Linked DNA regions of Lytechinus pictus. The protein of the gene in region 1 binds, or shares a complex with, the protein of each later gene. Links are inferred from orthologs where the notes say so. Each region holds a gene or a part of one and is shown on either strand. Other genes may lie near its edges. The genes, in order: U5 small nuclear ribonucleoprotein 200 kDa helicase-like, pre-mRNA-processing-splicing factor 8, spliceosome-associated protein CWC27 homolog and SNW domain-containing protein 1-like.

Region 1 (7,510 bases):
GCGGCTTCCGCTATCACCACGAGGTTGAAAATAAAATGAATATCATCATAAACGATGTAAGAGAGTAACGCAATAAGCTCCGTCAGTTGCACGATGTTTAAAAGTTCACGGCGGGGTCCGCTATCACCACGAGGTTGAAAATAAAATGTAAATCATCATAAACGATGTAAGAGAGTAACGCAATGAGCTCCGTCAATAGTACGACCTTTCAAAGTTCACGGCGGCATCCGCTATCACCACGAGGTTGAAAATAAAATGTATATCATCATAAACGATGTAAGAGAGTAACGCAATAAGCTCCGTCAGTAGCACGATCTTTAAAAGTTCAGGGCGGGGTCCGCTATCACCACGAGGTTGAAAATAAAATGTAAATCATCATAAACGATGTAAGAGAGTAACGCAATGAGCTCCGTCAGTAGCACGATCTTTAAAAGTTCACGGCGGGGTCCGCTATCACCACGAGGTTGAAAATAAAATGTAAATCATCATAAACGATGTAAGAGAGTAACGCAATGAGCTCCGTCAATAGTACGACCTTTCAAAGTTCACGGCGGGGTCCGCTATCACCACGAGGTTGAAAATAAAATGTATATCATCATAAACGATGTAAGAGAGTAACGCAGTGAGCTCCGTCGGTAATACGACCTTTCAAAGTTCACGGCGGCGTCCGCTATCACCACGAGGTTGAAAATAAAATGAATATCATCATAAACGATGTAAGAGAGTAACGCAATAAGCTCCGTCAATAGTACAGTCTTTAAAAGTTTCTGGCGGGGTCCGCTATCACCACGAGGTTGAAGAGAAGATTTATATCATTATAAACGATGTAAGAGAGTAGCGCAGTGAGCTCCGTCGGTAATACGACCTTTCAAAGTTCACGGCGGCGTCCGCTATCACCACGAGGTTGAAAATAAAATGAATATCATCATAAACGATGTAAGAGAGTAACGCAATAAGCTCCGTCAATAGTACAGTCTTTAAAAGTTTCTGGCGGGGTCCGCTATCACCACGAGGTTGAAGAGAAGATTTATATCATTATAAACGATGTAAGAGAGTAGCGCAGTGAGCTCCGTCGGTAATACGTCCTTTCAAAGTTCACGGCGGCTTCCGCTATCACCACGAGGTTGAAAATAAAATGAATATCATCATAAACGATGTAAGAGAGCAACGCAATAAGCTCCGTCAATAGTACAGTCTTTAAAAGTTAATGGCGGGGTCCGCTATCACCACGAGGTTGAAGAGAAGATTTATATCATTATAAAGGGGGTAAGAGAGTAACGCAGTGAGCTCCGTCGGTAATACGACCTTTCAAAGTTCACGGCGGCATCCGCTATCACCATGAGTTGGAAGAGAAGATATCTATCCCCTTAAACATTGCCATAGATAATACCGCGACTTTCTCCCTGAATAATGCGACCTCTAAATAGCTAGCACCTCAAAAACAATCTTGAAATATGTTCTGAGCGATCACGCACTGTAACCGGATCTACGCCGATTTTTTATTTTCGATTTTTTCCTTCAAGGGGCATGATCGAAGATCGGCAAGTGATTGCCGATTGTGGTGAAATCGAATGGAATCGGTTGCCGATTGCAAAATCGGTTACAAGCTTACTTACTTCATATCACGAAGTCACAGAAAACTTCCCTTCCTTCGTTTGGAGATCGTTGCACCGATCGCCGCGGAAGTGATACTGAAATTATCGGTCGATTTTCATTATTTTTTTTGGTCAATTTGAGGAGCTTGCGTTTGCAGAACACGAGTACCAGCGTATAATATGCAATGATCACTGTTGTAATTGGTTGATTCTCAAATTGGCTCCGAGTGTTATTGCACAATGCTTTCGAGACCGGATCGTGGTACAAAAACTTGATTCTCCAGAAAAAAATGTGGATTAATCAGTGATTTTGGAAGTGAATTCACTCTAGCTTAGTCAAAATGTTTCCCGAACTGAGCCTGTATTATATAGATCTAGATCTAGTGTGGGGATATCACTCGTGTCAAGGTGAAGACATTTGATTGAGAGTGTTACTGTTATGTTCCACGATCGAATTATTTTTTTTTGTGTTAGGGAGCCTAGGCTAAATTACAGTCCCTTTTTCATGTCGACATTGTCGATGTCGGGATTAATTTTTAAGCGACATGTCAACATGGATTTTTGTTCCCGACAACAGCACTAGTCCAAAGGTGAAAATTTGTGACATGTGTTTTCCCCATATTTTGAACTCCGTTAATATGAAACTGTGAAAACCAAAAGTAATTCGGACCCAATTTTTCAGGTACTTGTTGGTGGTTGACATGTTAGGTGCCCCAAGGAAAAGCAACCTCTATACTTCATCAAGATTTAAAATACTTAGATAGCTTTAAAAATGGCAAAAAACAAATTTTTGCCATTTTGGCATTTTTCAAAATTTGAATTGGCCATATCTCGGCAACCCCTGGTCCAATTTTTTATGATCTTGGTGTCATTTTACTCGTGTTTCAGAGCTTATTCCAGTCAAAACTATTTAATACTAGATTTACAACACTTCAATTTTTGTGGTGGCATCCCTACTTTTGAGTTTTATCCCAAAAAAAAAACACTCTCCATTCCAACTTCCATTCAATAATTTTTGTAAACTGCTCAATGGGTCTATATTAGCATGAACCATGATTTTTCCTGTCATATTTACTTGGAATTCGAAAAATGATGTATTGTGTTCGAAGTTTAGAACCCAAGACTGTCCGCACAGCACATTACACAGATTACAATAGGTGGGAAAAGTCAAGTGTTGCGCGTGCCAAGCCCAATTGCAAAAAAAATGAAAAGCGAGCTGGGAATCTACATTCTCTAGGGACGATATTACATCTTAAACAAACAAATCAAATATCACTTACCGCTTTGTACTCATATTGTAGTGACCTAGCCGTAGCATCAGCCATGGCTAAAGAGTAAAGTGTACTTCTTGATGAATTATCTTACGATTAACTGACGTTTTTCACAAAAGTAGAACTCACGCATTTTAATGGGTAGGCACTTATGAACCAAGTTTGAAAGGAGACTCGTAAAATGACGTCACTCTCGCCGATGAATATTCATTAGATCGTGGTCGTGCGTGTTCAATACACACTGCGTGCAGGCATGCAGATACAGGATAGTTATATGCGAGGAACTTTGGCTCCAGAGACAAGTTGTCAAATAACGTGTGTGTGTGTGAGTGTGTGTGTGTGTGTGTGTACCATCGGCTGGTAGTATTCCATGCTAGACAGACTTCAAACCGCTTCGGAGAGAGTGCAATTCGGTAAAACCAAGGAGATATCACTCTCTCCTTGGTAAAACGAAGTTTCCGATATAAAGAGATAATAACACTATATGTACAGTACGTTGGGAGGCAAATGTCAGATCAGGGGAGGCAGGAGTACAATCAGGTTTTTTTTTAAAGGGAAGAATAGAGTAGAATAAAAGGTATTATATATAGCTAATTGATCTAGTAGAGTGAAGTGAACAATTATGTTTTTTTTTAAAGAATGAATATACCTTACGTGAATATTATGGTGAAGCCAATTTAAAAGGAGGTGAGACAAGTTTCAATGGAGGTTTTTAAAAAGAATAAACTGCATTATGGTGAAGCCAATTTAAAAGGAGGTGAGGCAAGTTTCAATGGAGGTTTTTAAAAGAATAAACTGCATTATGGTGAAGCCAATTTAAAAGGAGGTGAGACAAGTTTCAATGGAGGTTTTTTTTAAAGAATAAACTGTACTACAAATTTAAATGGAGGTGAGGCATTAAGTTAATTTCAATGGAGGTTTTTAAAAAGAATAAACTGTACTACAAATTAAAAAAGAGGGTGATCAAGTTTCAATGGAGGTTTTTAAAAAGAATAGACTGCATTATGGTGAAGCCAATTTAAAAGGAGGTGAGGCAAGTTTCAATGGAGGTTTTTAAAAGAATAACCGTAAAATACTACAAATTTAAATGGAGCGAGGTGAGGCAAGTTTCAATGGAGGTTTTTAAAAAGAATAAACTGTACTACAAATTATGGTGAAGCGAATTTAAAAGGAGGTGAGGCAAGTTTCAATGGAGGTTTTTTTTTAAAGAATAAACTGTACTACAAATTTAAATGGAGGTGATGCAAGCTTCAATGGAGGTTTTTAAAAAGAATAAACTGTACTACAAATTATGGTGAAGCAAATTTAAAAGGAGGTGAGGCAAGTTTCAATGGAGGTTTTTAAAGAGAATAAACTGTACTACAAATTTAAAAGGAGGTGAGACAAGTTTCAATGGAGGTTTTTAAAAAGAATAGACTGCATTATGGTGAAGCCAATTTAAAAGGAGGTGAGGCAAGTTTCAATGGAGGTTTTTTAAAGAATAAACTGTACTACAAAGGAGGTGAGGCAAGTTTCAATGGAGGTTTTTAAAAAGAATAAACTGTACTACAAATTATGGTGAAGCGAATTTAAAAGGAGGTGAGGCAAGTTTCAATGGAGGTTTTTTTTTTTAAGAATAAACTGTACTACAAATTTAAAAGGAGGTGAGGCAAGTTTCAATGGAGGTACGTTTTAAAAAAGAATAAACTGTACTACAAACTTAAAAGGAGGTGAGGCAAGTTTCAATGGAGGTTTTTAAAAAGAATAAACTGTACTACAAACTTAAAAGGAGGCGAGGCAAGTTTCAATGGAGGTTTTTAAAAAGAATAAACTGTATTATGGTGAAGCAAATTTAAAAGGATGTGAGGCAAGTTTCAATGGAGGTTTTTAAAAAGAATAAACTGTACTACAAACTTAAAAGGAGGTGAGGCAAGTTTCAATGGAGGTTTTTAAAAAGAATAAACTGTCTGTACTACACATGGGTGTCAATCGGTATTCTTGGTTGGGGGGGGGGGATGATTGACACAAATGTTCTTGGGGATGGGGATCTTTCAACATTACCCCCACTAAAATCACAAGTTAGAACATTTGGGAGTGGTTGATATGCATGGTGTTCTTGGAAATTCCTTCATTGTTGCAGTGTACTGTATTATGTATAATTTTTTTTGAAAATTCAATTTGTGTTACAAGTAAGCATGTTCTAAGCTCATACGAAAGAAAAAATGACAAAAATTGTCTGGACCATGTACAAAGTGATCTGTTTATTGAGCATGATGTATACAACTTCTCTCTTAAATCTAACCCGACTGGCAATATTTTTTTTCTTCTTAATGCATGATGATAAAATGCAGATTCGGACAAATTAAGACTAGCACAAATTACAAACGTTGTGGCTTCTAGCTCGTGCGCCATCGGGCTTACCGTCATTCCTTAGACGATTTTAACCCTGGATTTTAACATGTTTTAAATGCTTTGTAAGTGAATGAAACAAAAACAAACATAAAAACAATCAAAACTCAACTGTCTGTTATGATATTTCTCCAACATTTTCTTGAACCATCAGTGTGTAATATCAGCTAATATATGTGTTAAAATGAAATTTACGTACCGCATGAGTGTGCTCATATAGATTGCAAACCTGTCATCCCTTTCCAAACTCAAAAGAGATTTCTTTTTGCCAAAATAAGAAAAAATCAATCAAGTTTAGTTATTCAAGTCCATAACAAGAATAACATGGAAAAAATCCGATGTTCATATCCGAAGATACGCTTTAAAGAGAAATGAATGATTATTCTTTCTGATGGGGTCACATGATAAAATGTTTGATATTAATTACATCCAACCGCATACAACAAAAGCACCATACACATGAGCTACTGATCACCACACGACCATTATGACTTTTTAAAAGTGATATGGGCTCACTCTTTCATGACTATAGGCACCTCATTTCCACATAAACTCCTCAAAAAAAGTTTGGAAATCTGACTTTGATCGATAATCCCTCCTCAAATTTAATATACATGTATATCAATATGTTAGTAATATCACTGAATAGATCATCTAATTCTCTTTAATATGATACCCTACATGATATGATTATGGTTCACATGGAGGTGCAGTGCCTTGAAATGTGGGGCAAGGTCAAAATTCAAAAGTTGCACAATGACATAATATTGAAAGTTACTGGTTTTTTTTCCGTGGTGATGAGTTGGGAGAATTATCGGCCAAACTCAGATTTCCAAACTTTTTTTGCTCGTTTTGCAGCTTTCAAATTCAGACCTCATCCAACACTTTTGAATCCTGTTCTTTTCGTGATGACAGAGAATTAAGTGATCTTTTGAATGACGTCAAATATGCATTGTGTAAAATTTGGAGTTGGGAGAAATTAATAGCCAAACTGATTTCCAAACTTTTTGTGAGGAGTTTAGATAGGTAATGAGGACATCAATGCTCTCCTGCAAAATATTATTGACCAAAACTTATCGTTCAAGTCAAGGTATACACAAGTAGAGGTGACATTCGTTTTGTGCACATCTTCCTTTTGGTATAATTTCATGTTCAAAGGTTTACTGAATGCCGAACATAATATATAACAATACTACCATGACATACATCGGTATATAACCAGGCAAAGGGTTGTAGATTAAATGGGATGGACAAACATCATGCACTTGGATGTGGGGAGGGATAAATCTGAGAAAAGTTATTTGTACTTTTTCAAGATCTACCCCTCTGGGATTTACGTCCATGGGGTTTTCCCCGTTGATCTTGCCACCCTCTTACTCCCGTTTATTTATACACCCTTTTGAATTAATTGATTTGTTAAAATTAATTTATTAACCACTGGTGGGATGGAACACCTATCAACAAAAGTTGTTTTTCGTCGGGGTCTTTTTATGTCATGTATTTAAAAATATCATATACATAAACATTTCATTATTTTTCATCTTGAACCTCCATCAATCTGTTTAAAAGTCATGGAAAAGAATGTTTTTATTTAATAACAATATACACAAATTGCGAGGGAAACAAACTGATTGATGGCATATAATCATCATGATCAAATTTTCATTTTTTCATCATCATTATTATAATTTTTCTACCCTAAATTATAGGGGGGATGAAAATACAGACCATCCCCCCACTTGAAATAATGGGGGGGGGGGATATATTCCCCCCCCCCCCCGTGATCGACACCCATGGTACTACAAATTATGGTGAAGCGAATTTAAAAGGAGGTGAGGCAAGTTTCAATGGAGGTTTTTTAAAAGAATAAACATAAACAGTCTTTGTAAATGTTTGTGCAAAAACTTGATAAGAATGCATGCCGTTATCACACAGTACTTGCCAACTTTTAGTATCTTTTATCATGGTCCTAGGCCTGCCAGTACTGAAAATAAACGTATTTTAAACTGTATTATAGCGTATATTTTTATTTACTCAAACTGCAGTTGCTTTCCATGATCATGTCTTGGTTTTATAATACTTGCTATATGTGTCCAGCCACCCCAATACCAACAATAAATACATTGATTTAAAGATTCTCATTGATCTTGAACAATCACATCCTAAGCTGTAAAATGATTTATCTTGTTAATATTGATTAATAATATCCCTCGCTAGTACTTGATTGAATGCGAATAAATTTGGTGAGAGCTTCAA
Region 2 (6,981 bases), on another chromosome or scaffold:
TCTAATACACTGGCGCTACAGTACATGTACATACGTACACGAGCGATCGCGAGCCAGCCGACTCTCGAGCTAGATCGCGCTGAATGCATGCAAGCTTCGGACTGACTCGGCCAGGACTCGGCTTCAACTTCAAACCAAATAAACAATGAGTTGTCAGACTAAAATAGGCGACTTTTGTCGTCGCGATCGGCGACCAGAACTTGAACAAGAGTCAAGAAAAAGAAATGCCGAGGCCAGCGCCAGTATATCAAGTTCAACCAGGACGCTGTTTATACTTTATTTGTTCTATTTGCACGTTTGTCTTGATGTATATTACATGTATGTTATTTGATGATATGGATCTCTGCATATGCAGCTGTGTCTGGATTAAAGTCTTGAATTGAATTAAGAGCAAAAGAATTTTTGAAAAAAAATCGGGCAAGCAGTTTTTTCTATTGGTCAAGCAAATTTTTTTATCACTTGCCCGACAGGGCAAGAGATGAAAAAAATTCTTTGAAGAGGCCTGGTTTACCCCCTAAATGCGGCTGCCCGATCGCGAGCCGTCTGGGTAGAATGGGGGGGTCGGGTGTCCAGACAGTTTATATTCTTGAGGCCTTCTTTTTTGTCTTTGGATTGCACTAAAAATATGAATTCGATAGTTGTAAACATCTTCTATTTTGTTCTCTATGATGGTGGGCCCCAAGTCTGCGCACCTAACAATTTGAGTTAAGATTTAACATGAATTTCTTCTTATTTCACAAAATCTTTCAGTTAATAATGTTCCTTATATTATTATTAAGAGTAAGTGTACCAAATTTCTCGTTAAAAAATGAAAGAAAATATAGGATTTTCTTGAAAAAACCTCGGGCAGTCATTTTCAGATTAAAAAAAAAGATACTCCATGTCTGCGCACTCATTCACTTTGCACAATTCGGGGATTTTGATGAGAAAGGCTGCATTTTGAGGCCATCACATGAAATGCCCTAAATTCCTTATTTTTCCACCATTTTCAGTCGGATTTTTTTATGAATACCTGTCTATGTATTGCATTGCATGTTTAAACTTCGTGCTCGTTGCGTATCTTCTTTTACTAGAATCGCGCAGATACGCAGACAAGGGGGACTGCGCAGACTTGGGGGAACTTGCCATATAAAATATTAATATTTCCTAACATTTTGTAATAAAAATTGATGAAACTTCACTTGTAAATTTTTCCAAATGACGTTCTAAATTGATCGTCCGGACACACAACTGGGTATACTACTACTACGACGTCTACGAGAAAGTACTCACACAACATGCGAGGTTAGTATATTAACCTCGCACAACGCATGTCATTTCATAATGAATTTTGACGTTTTCATTCATCACACGAATGTGAGAATATGAAACACGCCTAAATCTTCACAATATACTAAATTTACTTATTTAGTAATCTTAATCATATAGCCTAGGGCCTAAGGCTAATGTAATCTAATTTTAAAAATCAGCACGAACTTATCTATAAAAATGGATTTTAAACGCTTACCTCCAAATCTCAGCCAGTTACTCCGTCCGATCCTTAATACTGCGGTGGAAATTACGCAAACAACAATTGAAATGCGAATTTTTCCTATCGAACAGTCTAGATTCAAGTCGAGAACCAGCGAATCGGCCCCATGCCTGCTTCGACATCAAGAAAAATCATTGATATAAAGTACCAGAAAGACAGAGAGGAATTGAAATTGGCTTCATATCGTTTGGTAAGTTTCATATCCAAAGACCAAAGTTTATTTAATTTGAAATCTGTAATGTATTGCTAATTTAAAAATAATAAAGGTGTTGCAAGTGGGATGGGGGATCGGGTGTCCGGACACTTTATATTTTTGAAGCCTTCTTTTTTGTCATTGGATTACACTACAAATACGAAATCAATAGTTGTAATCATCTTCTATTTTGTTCTCTATAATATTTCCTGACATTTTGTACTAAAAATTGATTGATTTCCTTGTAAATTTTTCCAAATGACCAGTAGAGGCGCTGGTCCAAAAACTGGGATTGTCCCAGAAAACAAGGATATCCTCATAAACCAAGACAAATCATGTCTTGATAAATTGAGACTGTCCTTGTTTATGGGGACGTTTTTTTTTCACTTCTCCCTACGGGACAAAGACAGCAATTACGGAAATTGAGAGTGCTAAAAATAGATTCAGTGACCTCAATTCCCCCCAGTTCGCCGTCTAATTTTCATGACTTACCGTCTTCCAATAATCTTGTTATGAAACCTGATATGTTTACATTGACTAGCACACTTGATTGGTGTCGGCACTTGACAGGTGAATGAACTTTCCTAGATTTCTAGTGTGAAGAAATCCTTATAAACTGAGACAGTCCCTGTATTCTGGGACGATCCCAATTTTCTGACCGGCGCCTCTACTGATGACTTTCTAAAATTGATCGTCCGGACACACAACAACTGGGTATGCCGTGCCAGTGGTTATCCTGTGGCTGTGCACGGCGGCGGTAATCAGTACTGGAGTACTGTACTACTGGTAATGTACCCGTAGGTGACGAGAAATAAGAAATGTTAAAAACTCCTCGAAACAGACGGCTGCCAGCTGTTTAACCCCCCCCCCCCCCAGCTTCCCCACGGCCCACAAGTGTCACAACAATGTCGCTCACTCAGTCACTGACACACTGGCGTGGCGGCATAACAATACATGACCGATTACAACATCCATATTCCACTCCATTCACTCACAATACAAATCGTCGAGCTTCGCTTGCTTTCTCACTGCACTCCCGAGCTCCCTGCTCCAGCTCTTGAGGCAACAAAATTACATCAAATGATATATGGCAAACTAGGCAAACGTGGTAAGATTCAGATCTAATTCTAAGAATAAATTGTGAATTTATATGGTCTCACTTTATTAAAATTTGGAGTCTAAATTCTACTCACTCTTTCGTAATCTCGAACAAGACGCAACGTAAGTGTTACCAAACGCAGAGGGCGCGCGACTTCTATGGCCACCGCGCTGAGTCGAGTGGGCATTCCGCAATTGGCCGCTCTCTCGGGGATCAAAACTATTTGTTTGCAAATGATGTCATATCGGATTTTTTTCTGCGGATACACCTTCAAAAACAAAAATTGTTCAGATTTGGATGGACCTATAGTGGGTCGAAAATAACGTAGGCCTAACCAAATTTTAAACTGTATTTGGCTAAGTTGCCAACTAATTTCTGTGTAACTTTAGTTTTATTTTTGATGCACTCAAGGAATTATTGGGGGCGAAGCGCTATGCTTGCCCCCCCCCCATATTTTCGTTGGTGGGGCGATCGCCTTCCCCCCTGTCCCCCCAAGATCGACGCCTCTGTTTGTTTGATTTACAACTGTATCACACCCTTTCCTAAAAAGAAAACAAAAACAAGTCATCACGATCGAACCATTAAAAAAATGAAATTTATGCGTTTATATTACAAAACATATGGGGCAGCTGCTCGTTTATGACGTCACAAAGCTAAAATTTAAAATTCTAATAACTTTCTTAATCTTTAATGGATTTTACTCAAACCTTCACCAATATTTTCCATTATTTTTTTCTGCTATTTTTACAACATCTGATCATCTCTCCCACAGGATGTAGACATGACGAGATCCAAGATCTTCCCATCTGATCATTTCTCACACAGGATGTAGACATGACGAGATCCAAGATCTTATCATCTGATCATCACTCCCACAGGATGTAGACATGATGAGATCCGAGATCTTGCAATCTGATCATCTCTCACACGGGACGTACACATGACGATGATCTAAGAATTTGTCTGATCATCTCTCCCACGGGATGCAGACATGACGAGATGATTATATTATGGGTGGCACTTTCCCGGGCGGGGGGCCCTTCCATTGACGAGTGGATCGATACCATGCGCGACCATGGGGTCTCGAAAAGCACCCTAAACAAGTATTTCCATATTCTGAAAATGCACCCCTTAACAAGTATTGGCGTGTGAAACCCTACCCTTAACAAGTATATTGGAAACAAAACGATACTTATCCCTGAATTGAACACCTAAACAAGTACAGCGATATTTTAATTGTTATGTCACGTACGGACGTCGGTCGTCGGTTTTACCTTTACCTACATCATTGGGTTTAGTACGGCCCCACCTCCCATATCTCGCGCAAATCGTACTAAACACGTAGTGTTGACTGCTGGGACAAAGAGTGACATCCTTTATTAAACATCTTAGTCTGAATTGTTTATACCCTCCCAAATTTGACCCTAAACACGTGGCTTTCCTAGCGAAATAGATACCCCAGGCTTTTTTCATTATTTTAGTGTTTTGACGACACCCTTATTACGTTACGTACGTAACGCGCCCTATCTTTTTACGTGTTTTTTGGGTCGCAAATGGTATGCACTCGTCAATGTAAGTGCCCCCCCCCCCCTGGGGGGGCATGCACTTTTAAACTTCCATATAGGCCTATTTCTCTTTCTGTTTATGGTAACTCCCGTAGGAACTCGACAGGACAGCTTTTGCTGGTAAACGCCGAGCTGGTATATAACCAATTACCTAGCAAACATTTAACGTCTAGGTTAATCAGTCATAGTGGCTGACGGTATAGACGACAGATATTACTCTCGGGTCTTTTTTCAAAGTGGAGACAATGGCAGAGTGAGGATTCGAACTCACAACTTCGTGATTATGAGTCCAATATGCTCTAACCACTGAATAACACGACCCGTTAACTTTTGCAAATTTCAAAATTCTGTTTTGCCCCATCTTCCTCTAAAGGTAGGCCAATAATAAAGTCAACAACCCAAGACCATATGCGAATCCAGGGGGCCGAGGCCCCCCCCCCCCCCCCTATTGGCGGAGAGAAAAAAAGAAAAAAGGAAAGAAAGAAAAAAAAAGGAAAAGAGAGGAGACAAAAGAAGAAGAAACATAAAAAGAGGAAGACGAGTGAATAAAATAAGATGAGGGGAAGACTTGAAAAAAATTTTTTTTTAATCTTTCATGTCACTATATAACTTTTTCGCTCGCGCTTTGCGCTCGCATTTTAGGTGATTTACATATCTTGTTCAATATGGAGCTTAACATATTAATTTTGAAGTCAATATACAAAACATATTTCAGCTCGGAAATCGAACTTTCTTTATTTTTGTTCGATTTACAAATTGATTTTTAAAAATTGCCCTGTAGAAATGTCTGTTTTATGGTCTGAATATTAACATTTTCTGCTCGCGCTGCGCGCTCGGAAAATTGGATTTGTCAGGTAACTATTATTTTCCTGTATTCCATAAAGTTCTCAAAATATCCCTATTCAGGTCAGATTGTCAAAACGTATCAGCTAACACTGCACACTCGCATTTTGATTGGTGAGTTAAGTGTATCAATATTAATTCTATAACAAACTAATGAATCCCCATTTCTTGACAGTTTATCAAAAATTTCGGCTCGCGATCTGCGCTCGCATTGATTGTTGAAAATATATTAACTCATGCATCTTATTCATAATTACATAAGTGATTTAAATGTCCAGTTTTCAGGCCATAATATTAAGAGATTTCGCGCTCTCATTAGTCTTATTAGATTAATGAATAAGATATTAATTTAATAATCAAATTGTCCCTTTTTTCAGAATGGAATATCGGCAAGTTTCATCTCGTGCTTAGGAAGAAATATAGGAATATAGTCATCATTTTCATATGATGACATAATGTTCTTAGAATGTCCCGGTCCTATGTCAAAACTCAAGTAATAATAATGAAACATATCAGCTCCTTTTTTAACTCTGATCCATATCCACCTCACAAATTCCCTTCAAAGTGCTTGAAATACAGAGCTTGAATTGATCCTTTTTATCAGATCGGAATATAAAATATTTTAAGCTCGCGCTTCGCGCTCGCTTTATTGATTTTCATGATAAAAAAGGCATTTAGAATGCCCAGATTCTAGGTCGAAATCTGAAACACGCCCACGCATGTTTATTTAGATACGCTGCCTGTACTCTATTTAAATCATTATCAAGTTTCAGATCGCAGTATAAAAAAATTTGCTCGTGCATTGCGTTCGCATTATTAATGTAGGAAGATTTCAAATTACTCATCATTTTCATGATTTACCAAACATGAATAGAGTGTCCCATTTTTAGGTGTGAATCTCGATTTTTTTTTTCCGCTCGCGCTCGCATCAATTGTTTTGTTATATATACTTATCCTTTTCACGATTACAAAAAGTGCTCAGAATTTTTATTCATCGGGTATATAAATGTCAAAATTTTAAGCTCGCGCTTCGCGCTCGCATTATATTGATTGTTCAAATATGTAACGTCTTCATGGCTAACTGCAAGCAGCCGTTAACAGATCCTTTTTAGATCAGATCAAAACGTATATTGAAAATTATCTAATATTGTTGAATAAGCATCCAGTGGCGTAACAGGCGGGGGGGGGGCAGGGGGGGGCAAGTTGCCCCCCCCCCCTGGCGAATTTCACCGGGAAAATAAAAAAGGGAAAAAATAAAAGAGAGGGAGAAAGAAAGGGGAAGAAAAGAGGGAAAGGAAAGGAGGAAAAGGAAAGAGAAAGGGAAAAGTGGAAAGAAAACAAAAAATATATATTTTTTTTAAATGGATGTCCTTTAAATGGAAAAGGAAGGAAAGCGGGAAGAAGAACAAAAGAAGAGCATTTGAGAAAGAACAAATCATTCCGAAATAGACCTATGTAGTGCAATAGCATGATGGGAAAGATCACAAACTGACAAACAATAGCGGGAAATGAAGGTAGAATGGAATTAGTCAAAAGCTAAATTGGAAAACAAAGAAAAGGCACAAGAAATAAAAACTTAATAACACGACCGGGCTGACGAGGATAGATAATAAAGAGCGGGAAGAAAGATGGACTGCATACAACATTGTGCTATTAGCTTGCTCAATTTTATGCAAATAAGCTACCGGGGCTTAGCCCCAGACCCCAAGCAGTAGGGGCTCTTCATCTATGACCTTCAAATGGCTCTATT
Region 3 (7,714 bases), on another chromosome or scaffold:
GCTCTTTTTCTCCTTCTTTTCCTATCCTCCCACTTTCCATTCTCTCTTCCTCATGCTATGCCTTTTCCTTTTCCTCCTCAATGTTTCCTATTCTCTAACTCTCCTCTCCTCTCATATCTTTTCCTCTCTTCTATCTTCTCCGCCTTTTCTTCCTACTTTTCCTAATCCTCATCCTTATTGTCATTTCTTTCATCCACCTGCCTCTTATTTTATTTTCTCCCTTGACTACTCATCTCCCCTCGCTCTCCTTCTTATCTCATCGTCTCCTCTCCCTATCCTCACCTCTTATCTTCCTCCATCTCTTCTCCTCTTCGTCCTTCCCTTTCTTCCCCTACTCCTCCTCCATTCTCTGCTCTGATCCCCTCATATCCACTTCTTCCTTGGCCTGTTCCCTCTTCTCTCTTCCTCTTTCTCCCATCCTTCTATTCATCTGCCTCCTCTCCTTCTGCCTCCCCTACTTTCCCCATCCTCTTCCTCTCCCATCCTCTAATACTCAATCATCTTTTTTTACTATTACCATCCCCCAACATGCCCCATCACTCACCCTGAATGGATGGCCATAGATGGACTCTCCCCCTTCACCTGTTCCTGTGGGGTCCCCTCCTTGCGCCATGAAGTTCCTGATGATGCGATGGAAGATGGTGCCATCGTAGTAGCCTTCCATGCAGAGCTGGACAAAGTTCCTGCATGCCTTGGGCGCCTCTTTGGACCACAGCTCTATGTCTAACTCTCCACATGATGTCTTGAGGAGAACCTGGTGAATCAGTTTCAGCAAAAAAAATTAGTTGAATAAAATCAGTAAAAAAAAATCAGCAGAGATTAGAACAAAGTCAGGGTTCCAAGCTTTTCAAGAAAACAAACTTCCCTGATATTTCCCTGATGAAGTTAAAAATTCCCTGATAATTATTTAAACCCATTCCCAGTTTCGCATGTTTTCTAAGTTGTTGCAATGAATTACATGTATTTTCAGTATAAAAAATAATGTGAAACTAAATAGTACCACCATAACAAGTCATTCAATGGATGTTGTTTTGATATGCAACAAAATATAACAGAGTCTGGCTGACTACCGTGCTTTCGACTTTTGGGCTGATCAAAATTCCCTGATTTTTCCCTCATTTGGGGCATTTTCCCCTGATTTGAGGTATTTTTTACCAAATTCCCTAATTTTTCACTGACTGGAAAAAATTACATAATTTTCCATGATTTCCCTGATGGGCTGGGAACCCTGAAAGTGTCTTGTCAAACAGATGCAAGGATTGAACATTATAATGGCTGTAAGTGAAAAGTGCTAAAGATGACATGTAAAAAGTAGGCATTTACACTACCCTATGTGGTAGACTAAATTTTCCTCTAAAAAAAAATGTTAGAATAAGTTTTAAAAAGGTGTCACACCATGCATGTGTCCATGCATATTCAGAGATGTTATCTTTTTGTTTTGTTCACCAGAGGGCTCACAAATTGTGATTAAAACATGTACCGGTATGCTTATTTGACTTTGAGACTCTATTTATGGCGAGATATTCAGAAACGGATCATACAAACTTGGTTTTCGATTCAGAAAATAGAATGAGATCACTATCCATAGATTTAACCCCTGGAATATTTTTTTTGGAGCAGCAACTTGGATCTACTGTCATGACTGTGTGTGCTGTTCAATAACAGGTATGTTCATGTATCTTGTGCATGCAAGTCCCCTGCCAGTGCAGGTTCTCTGTAGTTATGGGGAGAGATTTGAAGTAATTTTCATCTGATATTTGGAACCATCCGATGTTTGGGGACTTTACTCTAATTTGGATGGAAACTGAATGTGTAAAAAAAAATCAAGCATTTCAATTTGTCCCAAAAAAGGCAAAACTGGCAAAGAAAGAGAAATTGAAAATAAGCCAAACATTGCCCAAAATAGGCCTATTTTACTACACAGGGAGTAGTATCACTATCAGAGAACAAGGTTATATCATTGAATGAGTGGTATAGCATACTAACCTAGTCTTGAGGACGCAATGATGATGACTTTAAAATCCTGACGTATACTTCTTCATCATTGACGTCTTGACACTCTTCCCATAGAAGAGACGGACCAAAAAAAAAAATTAATATTATAACAAAACCTAGGCCTATGTTATAAATTTTACTATTTGTGAAATAATAATTTTTATCTATAAATTGTTCCTCAAAACAGCAAGTACGTCATACATAAGCGGTTCAAGGGTCGACGCTATTTCATTTCCGTTGTTTACATGTGGATCGAGGGGTCTACGCGGCATCAGTTAGGTAAGAAACCTTTATTTTTTTACATTTTGATCTAACATTTTTTAAAACCTTCCTACGAATTAGGCGTAGGAACTAGGAAGGTGTAAAATTCAATAATATTCATAAACTTTACGTGATTTTGGTCTTAAAAGATTGATTTCCTAGGGAAATCCATCTTTGTTTTGGTCCGTCTCTTAATCTTATGCGTCTATCACTCTATGTCTGACTATCTTGTCTTGTCTTTCCGTTAATGCCCACAATCATTATATTGATTATTATGGCATATGAACGTCAAGATTGACTTGACCGTCAATGGGAAGAGTGTCAAGACGTCAATGATGAAGTATACGTCAGGATTTTAAAGTCATCATCATTGCGTCCTGAAGACTAATACTAGCCTCGCATGTGTGTGAGTGTCGGCAGCCAATCGCGCTCAACAAAACTTCAAAAGCGCAAGCCTCAATTACATTACTAGACCAAAACCCACGCACCAACAGACGTATGGGACTACACATCAACATCCAGCGGACAGGGTAGTCACACTGATCAGACGAAATAACTATGCAATAAAAATATCATAACGCTTGAATACATTACCTTCCCATTGGTTGGTGGCTCTTGGATGTATATATTACTCATTATGAAGTCAAAATATTGAAATATTTTGTCAAATTCAGGTTTTACTTTTCCATTTCCATTTTTAGCACCAGCAGGCTCTATTTTGGTAACTGAAGAATTCGATCAACTTTTCGTAATTGCACATTCGCATGTTATGGTATCTTAAGTTATAACCAAAACCATTTTTTATAAACATTTTTATTGCAGCATCGGGGCTCCCCCCCCCCCCCCCCCCCCCATACACACACACGCCCACAATACCGAAAGAATGAGAAGGAGCTTTTTTGGAAGAAAAGGGTTTTTTAAATACAATGACATGAAAATGGACTATTGAAGGACTTTTTGCAGGGAGCCGTGATGCAAGTATGAATTTAAACAGGAAATTTCAAGCACCATTTAATTCCCTTGAATATGAGATGTATTTTATTAAACAGGGGCCGCTGAACAGGGATGGGTAAGGGGGCTGACCCCCAGCCCCCCTCCCCCACCTTTTTTCAACAAACTTTTACAAAAATGTAACCCTCTGATTGTGTTTTTTCCCTTGGCTATACTCTTTTTTTTTGGGGGGGGGGGTTACTTCTCTTTTTTCTTTTTTTGCATCTCAAATGGGGGTGGGTGCATCGGCACCCGGCATCCGCCTTTATTCACTAGTTGTTAATTACATTGCCATTACCTTCTTAGTGATTTTGTTAATATTCAGTATTTTTATGTATATAACTTCAATTCTTTGACACTAAAACAAAATGATATACATTCTATTCCAACTCTGTAACAAAATAGCAGAAAATGATACCAGCACATTGTATCTTCTTTCTTGTTAAAAGCACTTAAAGATAATATTTCATATTGAATTGCTATTGTTGTGGTTTTTTTTTTAAGTTTTAACTTGGGTTGATATCAATCAAAATGACTTTGGACTGAGTTTGGTTTCGATTTTAGTTACTATTGAATATTCCCCCTGGGTCGACAAAATTAACCTTGGTGGAGGTCCCAGACAGTGGCGTAATGAGACAAATAGCAAAAAAAAAATAATAATTAGGTGGGTAGACATAGCGCATCAGGCAAAATTTATTAAAAGTTGTGAGCGAGGAAACATTTTGACATTTTTATCAAATTTTGTGAGAGATTTTATCTAGCATTAGGAAACTAATACATTAACTCTTTCCTTTCCTTTTCTTTACTCTTTTTTGGTCATGACAATTTTGGGGTAGGGGGCAAGTGCCTCCAAGTCCCCCCCCCCCCCATCTGTACGCCATTATTGGAAATCTTCCTAGTTCTTCCGAGGCACTGGGGCGGCGGAGCGTATATTTCCGGGGGCAAAGCCAAAAAGGACGGTGTATATTTTCAACATGAGAATATCATCATCGTGGAGCAGTTGTGTGTTTTGTAACAATTAATTTGAGCAAAGTTTTCAAAATGATTCTGACTGATAAGATGTATATTTAGGCTTTATTTTTTTCAACGAGAGAGCGGAGAGAGCAAGTGGTTTTGAAAAAAATTCAAATCTGAAGTTGTAAAACTTGCTTTTTGGTAAATATGAGAACACGAAGCGCGAGCTGAAAATTTGTAATATTACAACCTGAAAACTGGACATCCTATAAACATTTTTTGTAATCAGGAACAGAATGAGGACCTTACTTAACAATTATGCGAGACAGTGCTAAATGCGACCCCAAAATATTTGATATTCCCACCTGAAAACTGGAAATTCTAACCAATTTGATGAGCGAGACCGAAGAGCGAGCCAAAGATTTTTTTTTTTTTGGGGGGGGGGGGCAAGACAGTGTCCCCTAGCTACCCCCTCCCCCGGTTCTGCCGCCCCTGTTCTGAGGTGAACTTCCTGACTCTGCATTTTATGGGGAAAAAAGAAAGTGATGTGTTGGGATGTGCATACGGTTACTAAGCGAATGCATAATAGAAGTTCCATCGCCGCAAGACTTTGATGAAGTAAATATGTCGCATTGCGTGATCAACTTTTGACCAATCCGAATCCATGGCCCTGGGAAGCGGGGTGCTGTAGCATGGGTTATTCGCCATAGGCAACACCCCCTAGAAAAGTAATCGGCTATATAGTATGTCATTTTGTAGTGAAAACTTTTTTTTTTTGCTTTTGAAAATTTATTTGAACCCAAGTCACTTTTTTTTGCTAAACCTTTTTCTTTCTCTCCTCGTGACAACAATGACCTTCGTTTTGTAGTGAAAACCTTTTTTTTTAGCAAGCATCCCCTCGTTCTCAGAGCCCTCCATGAATCCAAGTTAATAGAATATACTTAGCCGGGAGTCCGGTTCAAAGTCAATGATCCGATTTCTGAACTCAGGTTTAATTTAAACTCTAGTTGTGGCTAATGTACGCATATAGGCAAATGTGATAAAAATCTCGAACAGTAAAGTTTCAATTCTCAGCACACTTTAAAATTGCACGGTGCTCAAATTCAAGTTAGAACATCTTTCTTCACCATTTAAGTACTGGGAAGACAGCATGCACTCAAACCATTTTACTTGGATATAGCTATCTTTTGCACCATCTTGTGTTTGATGTGCAAATCTACAACCCCCCCCCCCCCTGTTCACAAAGCGGACTGCAACATTCTAATAATTATTTTAACCCACCCCCCCCCCCCATAATTAATATAAATAAGCGTGGATAGAGGGAGATGGCCAGGTACTTATCTAAGAACATTGTCAAAACTGAGTAAACGTCTTGCCGACCCCGTTGCCGACAATATCTTTATAAAAGTTTTATATATTATTCCAGAAAACAATTTCATAACTTTGCATTATGCCTTTCATTTCTGATATCATTTTATTTCTCGTTCATAAAATCCTCGAGTCTTGTTTGCATAATGATTATCTCAATCAATTTTTAAAGATACCATTAGAGGCAAGTTCGGAATATATAGTTTCATATTTCAGCAGGAGAAATCCCGGGATCGGACCAAACCATAGAGATGTATACTAATTACGCTAGAGTGCGGAGTCGCCATAGGCGCGCGTACTTAACGTCTGTGATTGCGCGGAGCATGGTCGGCCATTGCTCGATAGGTCTAGATTCGCAAAAGTACCCGGATGTACACATAGCTCGTACGTTGTAACGCTGAGAAAAGGGATGCTGTCTCCGGCTTTTATCTTGAAGAAACGAATCCAACCTCATTACAATTGAAAATATGAAAGACAAATTGTATCTCAATAAACTATTAGTGTGATTACATGGGAATTCTGCTATTAATTTGTCTTTTTATCTGGATTCTCGGGATGAAATTCTCTATACAGTGTATTTACGATTACCTGCCACTGATGCCTGTATTTTGTTAGGCCTATAGATAATAATATATAACAGTATTGATAATATGACATAAATAAGTAGAAAAAATAAAACATACAACATTAAAAGTAAATTTTGACAATCATTTCAAAAGACAGTGATTTAGCCCATCTTCTCCGGACTTCCCTATCTTTGGCTTTAATGATACATCATCCTTTGGCACATTCCTTCGTCCACTTGATTCCGTGTTCTCATGACCAATTTTTTTACGATGGATATAATTTTGTAAATTTAATTCATTTCAACTCTATTCGTTTCACTTCACCTCAATTCATTTTTTTTTTCATTCAAACATAATACAAAGTAATATATATCGGATAGGCTCTACAATTTTACAGATGAATATTCTTATCTCGTAAAAAACCAGTACGCCTATAAAATTGAGCATCAAATGACCAACTGCATGAAACTTGCATTAATTTGTATTAAGTATATACTAGTTTGTTTTAAATGTACAATAATTTGTATAAGTGTTTTGATCTTTGATTACTATTTTATTAGCAAGGTATAGAGTATTTAAAGGGCATCTTATTAATTTTACATCATGGTGAGCCTCCCGTTACACCATCAATGGTAAAACTTTATTGGGTTTTCGGTGCACTTGTTAATTTTTTTTCTCATAGGAACATGATAAATTCCCTACTATCTGCAGGCCTATATCGCACCGAAAATGAAATTGTTCAAAATTTTTTGCTTTTAATACCCTTCTATTTAAGTTAGAATCGGTTTATTTTATTCGCTTTTTAGGGGGTGGGGTGTAATTAAAGTGACATACGCACCCGGAAGAAAATTCACAATCAAAATAAAAGTATACAAGTACAGGGGGCTCGACTGGACCCCTCCCTGACAGGTATCACTTGAGGTTAAAATTAGGATCACTCAACAGCCAACAATAATTGTATTATCTTATTCCAAGTATTTGTCAGTTTTACAATAGGCCTATTATTGCTTAATATGTTTGTTTTTTGTACTCACAATTTTGCAAAACTTTTTTTATTTTAAGTTTTATTAAGATTGCAATAGATGTATCTCAGGATATTTGTTATCAATTGGTTTTATACACTCAGTTGTAGTAATAATATTCTTTGTAGTATAGTACAAATTATAATTATAACTCACTCCCGCTCTGTTTCTTCTCCTCTCCTCCTTCTTCCATACCTTAATTATTATTCGATCCTTGATTTGTTCACATAAAAATTTGTCAAATCAAAGGATTAAACATCAGCGATATGTCAACAGAGTATTTCAGCCGATCAGTATATTATTTCAGCCGGGGGGGGGGGGGGGTCAAGTCTATAGGTTTTCCAGAAAATCAAAGAGAAACTCTTTTATGTTGCGTTAAACACGCATTGTAATTTGTTTATCATGTTATTTGCAAGGCAATACTGTAAACATAATTTCCCCCATTAGGCCTCCTGTACATTACAAAATTGTACAACTGCATGCGTGTTTTTGATATGCAAATTTTGCTGTCAACAAACTTTTCTACATTGATTTGCACGTAAGAAAGTAATTAAAATG
Region 4 (7,712 bases), on another chromosome or scaffold:
ATAAAGTTAATTCATTCATTCATTTATACTGATTCATTCAAGCCATGGTAACAGTTGGAATTTTTATCTCGGAAGCTAGATCCTCCATGTTAAAGTCATGGATGTAAAGTTGCAATATTGCCATCTATATCAACATGTGAATGAAAGTTGCCACATGCACATGTAGGTGACAGAGGGCTTGTGTTAAACCAATGATATGATGCCACTGCCTTGGATGTCCAGTCCACCTTAACTGTCTCGTTTTCCTCAAATTTCCCCTTTACAGACAGTGGTTGTAAGATGTTTTATAAAAAATGACCTTGTCCTCAGGACAACTTTATACTGCAAGGGCTGTAGGCAGTGATGCAATGAAAATGATAGTTCTGTGGTACAAAATGAAATCTGTATATCACTTGATTAATTACGATGGCAATTTTCCACATTTCTAAAACAGAGGTATGTCACAACAAAAAATATATTTTCTACGCCACTTTAAGTTTCCCACTTGAAGTATCCCTCACTTTCAATATTTATCTGTAATTTTTTTTACAGTACATTCATTGAAATCAGAATGAATGACTAACTACATGTACCTTCTCAACTTTGCTGCATATTTGTTTGTTTGGGTCTCTTTTTTTTTAGGGGGAGGGTATATATATATTAATGTACTTACAGCCAATGACCGAGGCACCCATCCTTTCCGATGACCATACGGTGGAGCTGCATTCCTTGATACAGAAACCACACGTAACTGAAAAAGAAAGAGGAACATTATAGTGCAAATTTATTAATTTAATACAACATCCTATTATTAAACTTAAGAGAATGGGTTCATAAAAGTCACATTCCAGCATTATATTTAATGATATCATGAGTAAGTCTGTCAAACAGCGTAAATCATCATATCTTAACTTTTTTCAATTTTCACTATTTGTCTGTCTCTTAGCGGTTGCAAGCAACACATTCAAAAACAGGTCACTATGTTATTGCAACATTCTTTTTTTAACTCCTACCCCATTGACATCGTACAAAGGGTTGCTGAGCTTTGTCACAAAATGTTTATGAACAGGCCTTATTAGTACTATTGTAATTATTTAAAATGAAATACGTGTAGGAATGTTCATTTGCTTACCTCTTTGGCTCTCAGGTCTACCTCATCTTCTTGCCCCCATTGCTTGGGTTTAGGTAGGATGCTGTGGAAAAAGTATAATTTTTTTAGTCAATTGCTAGTATTTGATAGAAAAGAACAAGGAAAGATGAAGCAGGAGAAGCTTGCAGCAACATTTGTTAAAATCCCAGAAATGTGTCTGACTTGTCAACGCAACCCTAACAATTGTCACATCACATGGTATAGTGAGTGATTGTATTACCGACCGGCCTTGTTTTACCCAACGCGCATCATACGCGTGAGAAAATGATTTTGTACGCTCAAACTTTGCAACATTCTTCCAAAGGGAACTTGAATATAGAGATGATGAAAAATGGTCAACAAGTGGAGCGCCTCTGGCAGTCTCACCTGCATTACGCAATTCAATATAGCAGCAGTGCTGACTCTAAAAACTACTATGAAATTGGCAAACATGCTTCAAAATGGCTGAATTTGTGAACAACTCTCCATTTGTTTGTACACAAATTTTCAGATTTTCCTCATTATCTTTCAAATTGCAGCTTGCTTCCTTCTGAGCACGACATATGTCTTGGGAAAATAAAATTCACACCACATATGTCAAGGTCAGGAGATGTGAAAAATGTAAAATAAAGGGGAAAATCTGAAAATTTGTGTACAAAACAAATGGAGAGTTGTCCACAAATTCAGACATTTTGAAGCACATTTGCCAATTTGAGGATCCCTATAGAAAGTACAAGACTTTTTAAATGTCCATAACTTGCTTATTTCATAACCGATTTTGATGAAACTTTTTTTTGTAATTGTTCATCTCATTTTACCTAAATTTCCAATAAGATTGCTTCTCTTCTTGGGTTTTGGTTACCTAGCAACTATTAATATTCAGGCCAGAATTTTTTACCTCCATACATAGCTCAAAATTTTCTGCTTGCGCTCTGCACTCGCATTTGGTAATTTTATTCCTATTTTTAAAGAGGGCGTTAACAAAAAATGCTAAATTCCTTGATTTTGGCCACCCGGACCAATTATTAGGCTCGCTGTATTGCCCGATTTTGTTTAAAATCAAATTTGAAAATTCTAGGAAATATCTATGAATTTCAGGAAATTTGGGATTCAGTTTCGGGAATTTTATTTTGGAGCTTAGGAAACACTGGTCCGACTCCTACCTGTAGATTTCCCACAGGCACAGGCAGGATGGTTGCAGCGTGCAAGTGGATAGACTAGTTAATGCCCACACAAGACACAAGTCCACAATCAAAAAGTGTATTCCGGCAGACGAATCCCTGTCTGCTATCACACACATTGCCATCACCACACTCAGTCACTGTTAGATTCCACTCACTAAGTCTCACACAAATATTGAGCTCTACCCTGGGTTTTACATGTAACTCTTGTGCAATGAGCATTACTGTGTCACAGAATTGTGATATCGCCACTGGAAATGTGTGCATAAGAAATTACACACGCCAGTAACGGCACCGGCCCCCTGTGTATTCACAATCACCGTTCACACTCGCCACTCTTACTTAGTCTCACGTCCGTCTAGCAATTGATTTTACTGTAAAAAATACCAATAACCCAATCATGAAATAAATTTTGTAAATAATCTACTCACTCAGCAAGTGACACCATAGTAAATTTGACGAAAGTCTTGGATACAATGCAGAAATCTCTGGGCAAACTATCGGCTGTCGTCGAATCTCCTCAGAAAGCTCGCTACGCCATAGGCTTTTAATGCATGTCTTCTAACGCTAGAGGGAGACGTGCCAATTTCCGATCACAACAGCCGTGGCCGAGTGGTCTAGGCGCCAGGCTATACATGGAAAGTCCGGGGTTCGATCCCCGGCCGCGGCGCCTATGCCCGTGAGCAAGGCATTTAATCTACAATGCTCTTTTATCCTGCTTTCAAATAAAAATGGAAATGCTATATGCATTATTGGTAACTAGGTGTGCACTTGTTTAAAAAAATATATATATATTCCGATCACATATACCGGTACATATTAAAAAAAAAAAAAAAAAAAAAATAGGCGTTAATTCATACTTGCCAGTTGCCACCAGTGGCGTAACTACGGGGGGGGGGGCATGGGGGGCACGTACCCCCCCCCCCCCCCCACAATCGGCTGGCCAAAAAAAAAACGGGGAAAGGAGAAAAAGAGGGAGAAAGGGAGAGAAAAGTAGTGGGGAAAGAAGGAATTATTGTTAATTATAAAGTTATATTATATTATAATTATGTTATATTATATTACATTTAAAAAATCATAACTTTATGAAACATAATTTGCGCAGGGCCTATGTCTTCATTGTTCTTGGTGCTCGCATTGTCTGTTGAACAAGATATATAATCCTGTTGTACTAAAACCTCCCGTTTTCAAATCAATATACAACAAATATATTTCCTCGCACGTCGAATTCTTGTTTTAAGTAGTGACATATTATGCTTCTTTTTCATGGCTACTTAAAGTGATTGCCCCCATTTTAAGGTCTTAATCTAAACCATTTCCTGTCCGTGCTTACGTTAGCATTCGTGGATTGGTGAGATATGTCTGTTTTTCATGAATTCCTAAAATCAGTCCTTAAAATGTCCTTTTTTCTGATCTGAATATCAAAAATTTTCAGCCTGCGTTTCGCGCTCGCATCATTTGGTTAGTGAAATACGCATGGTCTCCGTGAATTCCTACAAGCAGGCCTTAGAATGCCCCTTTTCAGATCTGAATTTCCTTAATTTTCAGCTCGCGCATCGCGCTCGCAATATTTGATTAGTGAGATGCGTATGATAATCATGATTACAATGACTATAAAAAGTGCTTCATGTGTTTAGATGTAATTCTAACAAAATCAGCATGCGCTTGGCACTTGAATTAGATGACTATGGTGAGATATGTGTACTCTTAATGGATTCCTTTAAAAAAATAGTCCTTAATATAATTATATCCCTGTTTGGGGTCAATATATTTTCAGCTCGCGCTTCGCGCTTGCATCATTTGGTTAGTGAAATACGTACGTATTTCCTCGTGAATTCCTACAAACAAGCCTTAAAATGCCTCTCTTCAGGTCTGAATTTCCCAAATTTTCAGCTCGCGCTCGCAATATTTGATTAGTAAGATGCGTATGTTAATCATGACAATGACTACAAGTGCTTCATGTGTTAAGATGTATATTATTCTAACAAAATCAGCAAGCGCTTGGCACTCGCATTAGATGATGGTGAGATACATATATATACTCTTAATGGATTCCTAAATTATAGTCCTTAAAATGTCCCTGTTTGGGGTCAATATATACACACATTGTGTGCGGGAATGACTGATTAAATCCGATGACCGGGGTAATAATATATCTGTAAAGCGCTTAGACATGCCGTTCCGATGTATTAAGCAGATCATTATTTTCTTGTTTTTTTTCCTCTTGGAGATCGAGCAGTCGGGATTTGGCTCATACGAAATCAATGACACCCAAATTTCTCCTTCTTGGTTTTCTCTTTCTGACCCCTTTCCCCCGATTCATTCTCCCACTCTCTTTCTCTCTCTCCCTCTCCCTCTCTCTCTCTCTCCCTCCCTCTCTCATTCACCTTTATATTTTGAAGTTGTACCTTCAAATGTTATCCATATGAATCATGTACCAAATATTTTTTTGCATCCACACCAATAAACAATCATATCGCAATTCTATTTTTTATTCATTTTTCTTTTAACATTAGCCCCCCCACTGCACCCCCCCGCCAAAAAAAAGGTGAAAGGGACTGCTAGTATGCCCACTAGAATGGTGTTCAAGAGTTTCTGTTATTTTCGATGTGACCAAAAAAAAGAAAGGTGAAACAACAAATTAAGAGGAGTGATAAAGAAAATATTTAATCCCATAAGTACGGTGCTGAATCGCATATGAAAAGATTGAATGGGGCAAGCAATGTTAAGGGATAGCTTATACCCCTTTATTTTTCCTTTTGATACGAAAATAAAGTTACCTTTGGAAAACCCCAACTCCAGTGTAACTCATATACTATACCACTGGACAGTTCTTTCACACCACAATACAAGATCACTGAAGAAAAAAAAATGTTTTGGTTTTCTCGTCCAAAGTTTTGTTCATCTGTCATTTTACAGTAATTAATCATGTTTTAATTATAATGTTGATATTTCAAAAGGGCGGCTCAGATTTATTTGATGATTTGTTTTGAAAATCGCTTTCCAAATATATAGGCCTATATGAATTTTGAATGATTGTTATTCTAACGAAAATATGAGTACTCTTGTATTATTTTGCACATTATGATTATGTTGAAAAATCCCATACATAGGGTCTCTCGGTATGCTCTTTTATTTACTTCCTATGTAGACATGTAATAGGTTTATCATACTCTGTTCAGGGCATTTTCCTAATGCTGGGGAAAACAGAATATATTACCAATGTAAAGTTTTTGTGAATCTTTTTTACTTCAGGTGTGCCAATTGTAAAAAACCCCAAAACAAAACGATAAACACGTGTTACTGAAACTGTGAAAGGGGGACCTGGGTCATGAAATTCTACTGACGCAGATATGGGGGGGGGGGGGGGGGGGCTTGGGTCATGGCTCCCAAAAGTTCCACCACCAAGAAAAAAAAAGGAAAGGAAAAGGGGTAAGATACGATGTTGTTTTCTGAATATTATGTAAAAATCTATTACAAAATTAGATTTTCATTCCAAAAAGGTAATTTTTCTGCTTCAGTTGCTCTACTTTCTCACTCAGGACTTATAAGAAATATTTTTCACACACATGTCGTACCCATATCCCCCCTCTCATTATGTCACTGTGATCTTGTCGTATTCGTGAAATTATGGATCCCTTGACGCATATAAATAAAATTTATCTCTTCAGTGTATCATTGTCCCTGATAGTATGATGGTTGTTAATAGTATACCTGTCAATAAAATATGTTCAGATGACGATTTGGAGAACTATCGTCCTATGACTTACTGACAGTGGCGTACCTGGCATATTTCGTCAGGGGGGGGGGGGGACAAGCGACAAAAATAAGCAAGGCGGGGGGTAGTAGGCATGGACGTATAGGCACAGTTTTCAAGGGGGGCTGATAATCATTGCCCAAATATCAAATTCACAGTTTTTAATTTTCGAGCGAGCGAAGCGAGCGAACATTTTTTCCCAATTATTATTTAGCCTTTGTACATGATATGGAACTTGCAGAAATTATAAATTCGGTCATCAAATTACCAATACACGAGGATTTTTGGGCACCTCGTAGTCCTCGGTTGCCCTGCATTTTGCAACCCCCCCCCCCCTCCATACACGTTTGGATGTGTAGGTCTGGAAGTGGCACTGAATGTGGGAAAGGTTACCCAGGGGATGCCCAATAAAACAGTTGGGATCTTGCTACTACTGATATTTGCTATCGGGCGATTGCACTTTATTGTCGAAATTATTATTATTTCTGTATATCATTCCAGAAATGAAATGTATTGGATCGTGATCGATATATTTCTAATCAAGTGGTAATTGCAATGTTTATATCAAAATACTTCCTTTATTACTCTTTGAAGGTGTTTACATTATGTTCCCAATTCTGCTCATTTGGAGACGTTATAAAAGAGGTATTTGACATTGAAATCAGTTGTATTCATGTATTGATTTGCATTTGTTTTATTTCCATATACACAATTAAAACAAAAATAAACGCATCCATCCACTCATGAAAAAATAAATATGAACGTGAAAATATATGCGACAGTAACATGATATATCACTAGATATGGGGAAAATCACTCACTCACTGGCAGGAATGTCAGAAGGTTGAGGGAATTGAAATTGGAAAAGATAGATAGGCGGACGAAGGGATCAGGTACATAGGATAGATAGGGGGACAGTAATAACCAGAGGAATGTGTAAGCAGGGGTATAGCTAGGCCTTTACCCGACAGATATCAGTACCGATTACTGACGTCCGACGAACAGTACTCATCTATATCCAACCCAGGGGCAGATCCAGGATTTTCAAGGGGGACATTTTGTTTACAAAAATTTGACAAGCCCCACCTCCAAAAAGTCTTCACTTTTAATTACACTTGCCTAACAATTTACACTAAAATTATATAAAAAATAATAATTGCGAGCGCAAAGCGCGAGCTGAAATTTTCTAAAAATTTAGACCTAAAACGATACATTTTTATGCACTTAACTATGAATAGGATGGGTATCTTCCTTAATAAATTATGCGAGCGCGAAGCGCGAGCTAAAAATTTTGATATTCCTAACTGGACACTAGACATTCTAATCAGTTTTACAAGATGGGTATCTAAACAGTCATGCGGGCGCAAAGCGCGAGCTAAAACTTTTGATATTCCGACTTAAGAACTGGATATCCTAAGCACTTTTACTAACCATGAACAAATTTGTTTTTAACTGAATAATTAATTGATGCGAGCGCAAAGCGCGAGCTGAAATTTTCTAAAAAATTAGACCTAAAACGATACATTTTGTGCACTTAACTATGAATAGGATGGGTATCTTCCTGAATAAATTATGCGAGCGCGAAGCGCGAGCTAAAAATTTTGATATTCCTAACTGGACACTAGACATTCTAATCAGTTTTACAAGATGGGTATCTGAACAGTCA

Evidence for each region.
Region 2: the proteins of U5 small nuclear ribonucleoprotein 200 kDa helicase-like (region 1) and pre-mRNA-processing-splicing factor 8 are in contact, whole or in part, in a cryo-EM structure (PDB 7OS2), measured with the Homo sapiens proteins. The link is inferred for Lytechinus pictus from reciprocal best matches to the Homo sapiens genes SNRNP200 and PRPF8. Residues at the interface, in NP_054733.2 of Homo sapiens: Pro543, Met544, Arg545, Ser546, Thr570, Gly571, Thr589, Glu591, Lys592, Ile595, Arg624, Arg728, Lys729, Glu773, His786, Ala787, Thr814, Glu837, Tyr992, Thr1008, Ser1010, Ile1012, Leu1041, Glu1042, Arg1043, Val1044, Pro1045, Ile1046, Pro1047, Val1048; in NP_006436.3 of Homo sapiens: Trp2073, Arg2074, Ala2077, Ile2078, Ala2081, His2084, Asn2109, Lys2113, Tyr2168, Glu2171, Met2172, Arg2266, Leu2268, Gly2269, Phe2270, Gln2276, Arg2287, Leu2298, Ala2299, Asn2300, Glu2303, Glu2307, Arg2310, Pro2311, His2313, Phe2314, Leu2315, Asn2316, Phe2317, Ala2318.
Region 3: U5 small nuclear ribonucleoprotein 200 kDa helicase-like (region 1) and spliceosome-associated protein CWC27 homolog share a complex: the UniProt entries of both Homo sapiens proteins name them as parts of the minor spliceosome. The link is inferred for Lytechinus pictus from reciprocal best matches to the Homo sapiens genes SNRNP200 and CWC27.
Region 4: U5 small nuclear ribonucleoprotein 200 kDa helicase-like (region 1) and SNW domain-containing protein 1-like share a complex: the UniProt entries of both Homo sapiens proteins name them as parts of the minor spliceosome. The link is inferred for Lytechinus pictus from reciprocal best matches to the Homo sapiens genes SNRNP200 and SNW1.

Annotation. Positions count from the first base shown.
Region 1 is NC_087256.1:3,906,598-3,914,107, reverse strand, and holds the start of U5 small nuclear ribonucleoprotein 200 kDa helicase-like, read right to left. Parts: upstream 3,017-7,510; 5' UTR 2,921-3,016; coding exon 2,876-2,920; intron 1-2,875. UniProt on the Homo sapiens protein: Catalyzes the ATP-dependent unwinding of U4/U6 RNA duplices, an essential step in the assembly of a catalytically active spliceosome. Plays a role in pre-mRNA splicing as a core component of precatalytic, catalytic and postcatalytic spliceosomal complexes.
Region 2 is NC_087246.1:34,397,194-34,404,174, reverse strand, and holds the start of pre-mRNA-processing-splicing factor 8, read right to left. Parts: upstream 3,020-6,981; 5' UTR 2,918-3,019; intron 1-2,917. UniProt on the Homo sapiens protein: Plays a role in pre-mRNA splicing as core component of precatalytic, catalytic and postcatalytic spliceosomal complexes, both of the predominant U2-type spliceosome and the minor U12-type spliceosome.
Region 3 is NC_087255.1:26,595,324-26,603,037, reverse strand, and holds the start of spliceosome-associated protein CWC27 homolog, read right to left. Parts: upstream 3,011-7,714; 5' UTR 2,893-3,010; coding exon 2,851-2,892; intron 755-2,850; coding exon 545-754; intron 1-544. UniProt on the Homo sapiens protein: As part of the spliceosome, plays a role in pre-mRNA splicing. Probable inactive PPIase with no peptidyl-prolyl cis-trans isomerase activity. As a component of the minor spliceosome, involved in the splicing of U12-type introns in pre-mRNAs.
Region 4 is NC_087251.1:28,641,107-28,648,818, reverse strand, and holds the start of SNW domain-containing protein 1-like, read right to left. Parts: upstream 3,005-7,712; 5' UTR 2,738-3,004; coding exon 2,721-2,737; intron 1,173-2,720; coding exon 1,112-1,172; intron 731-1,111; coding exon 653-730; intron 1-652. UniProt on the Homo sapiens protein: Involved in pre-mRNA splicing as component of the spliceosome. As a component of the minor spliceosome, involved in the splicing of U12-type introns in pre-mRNAs.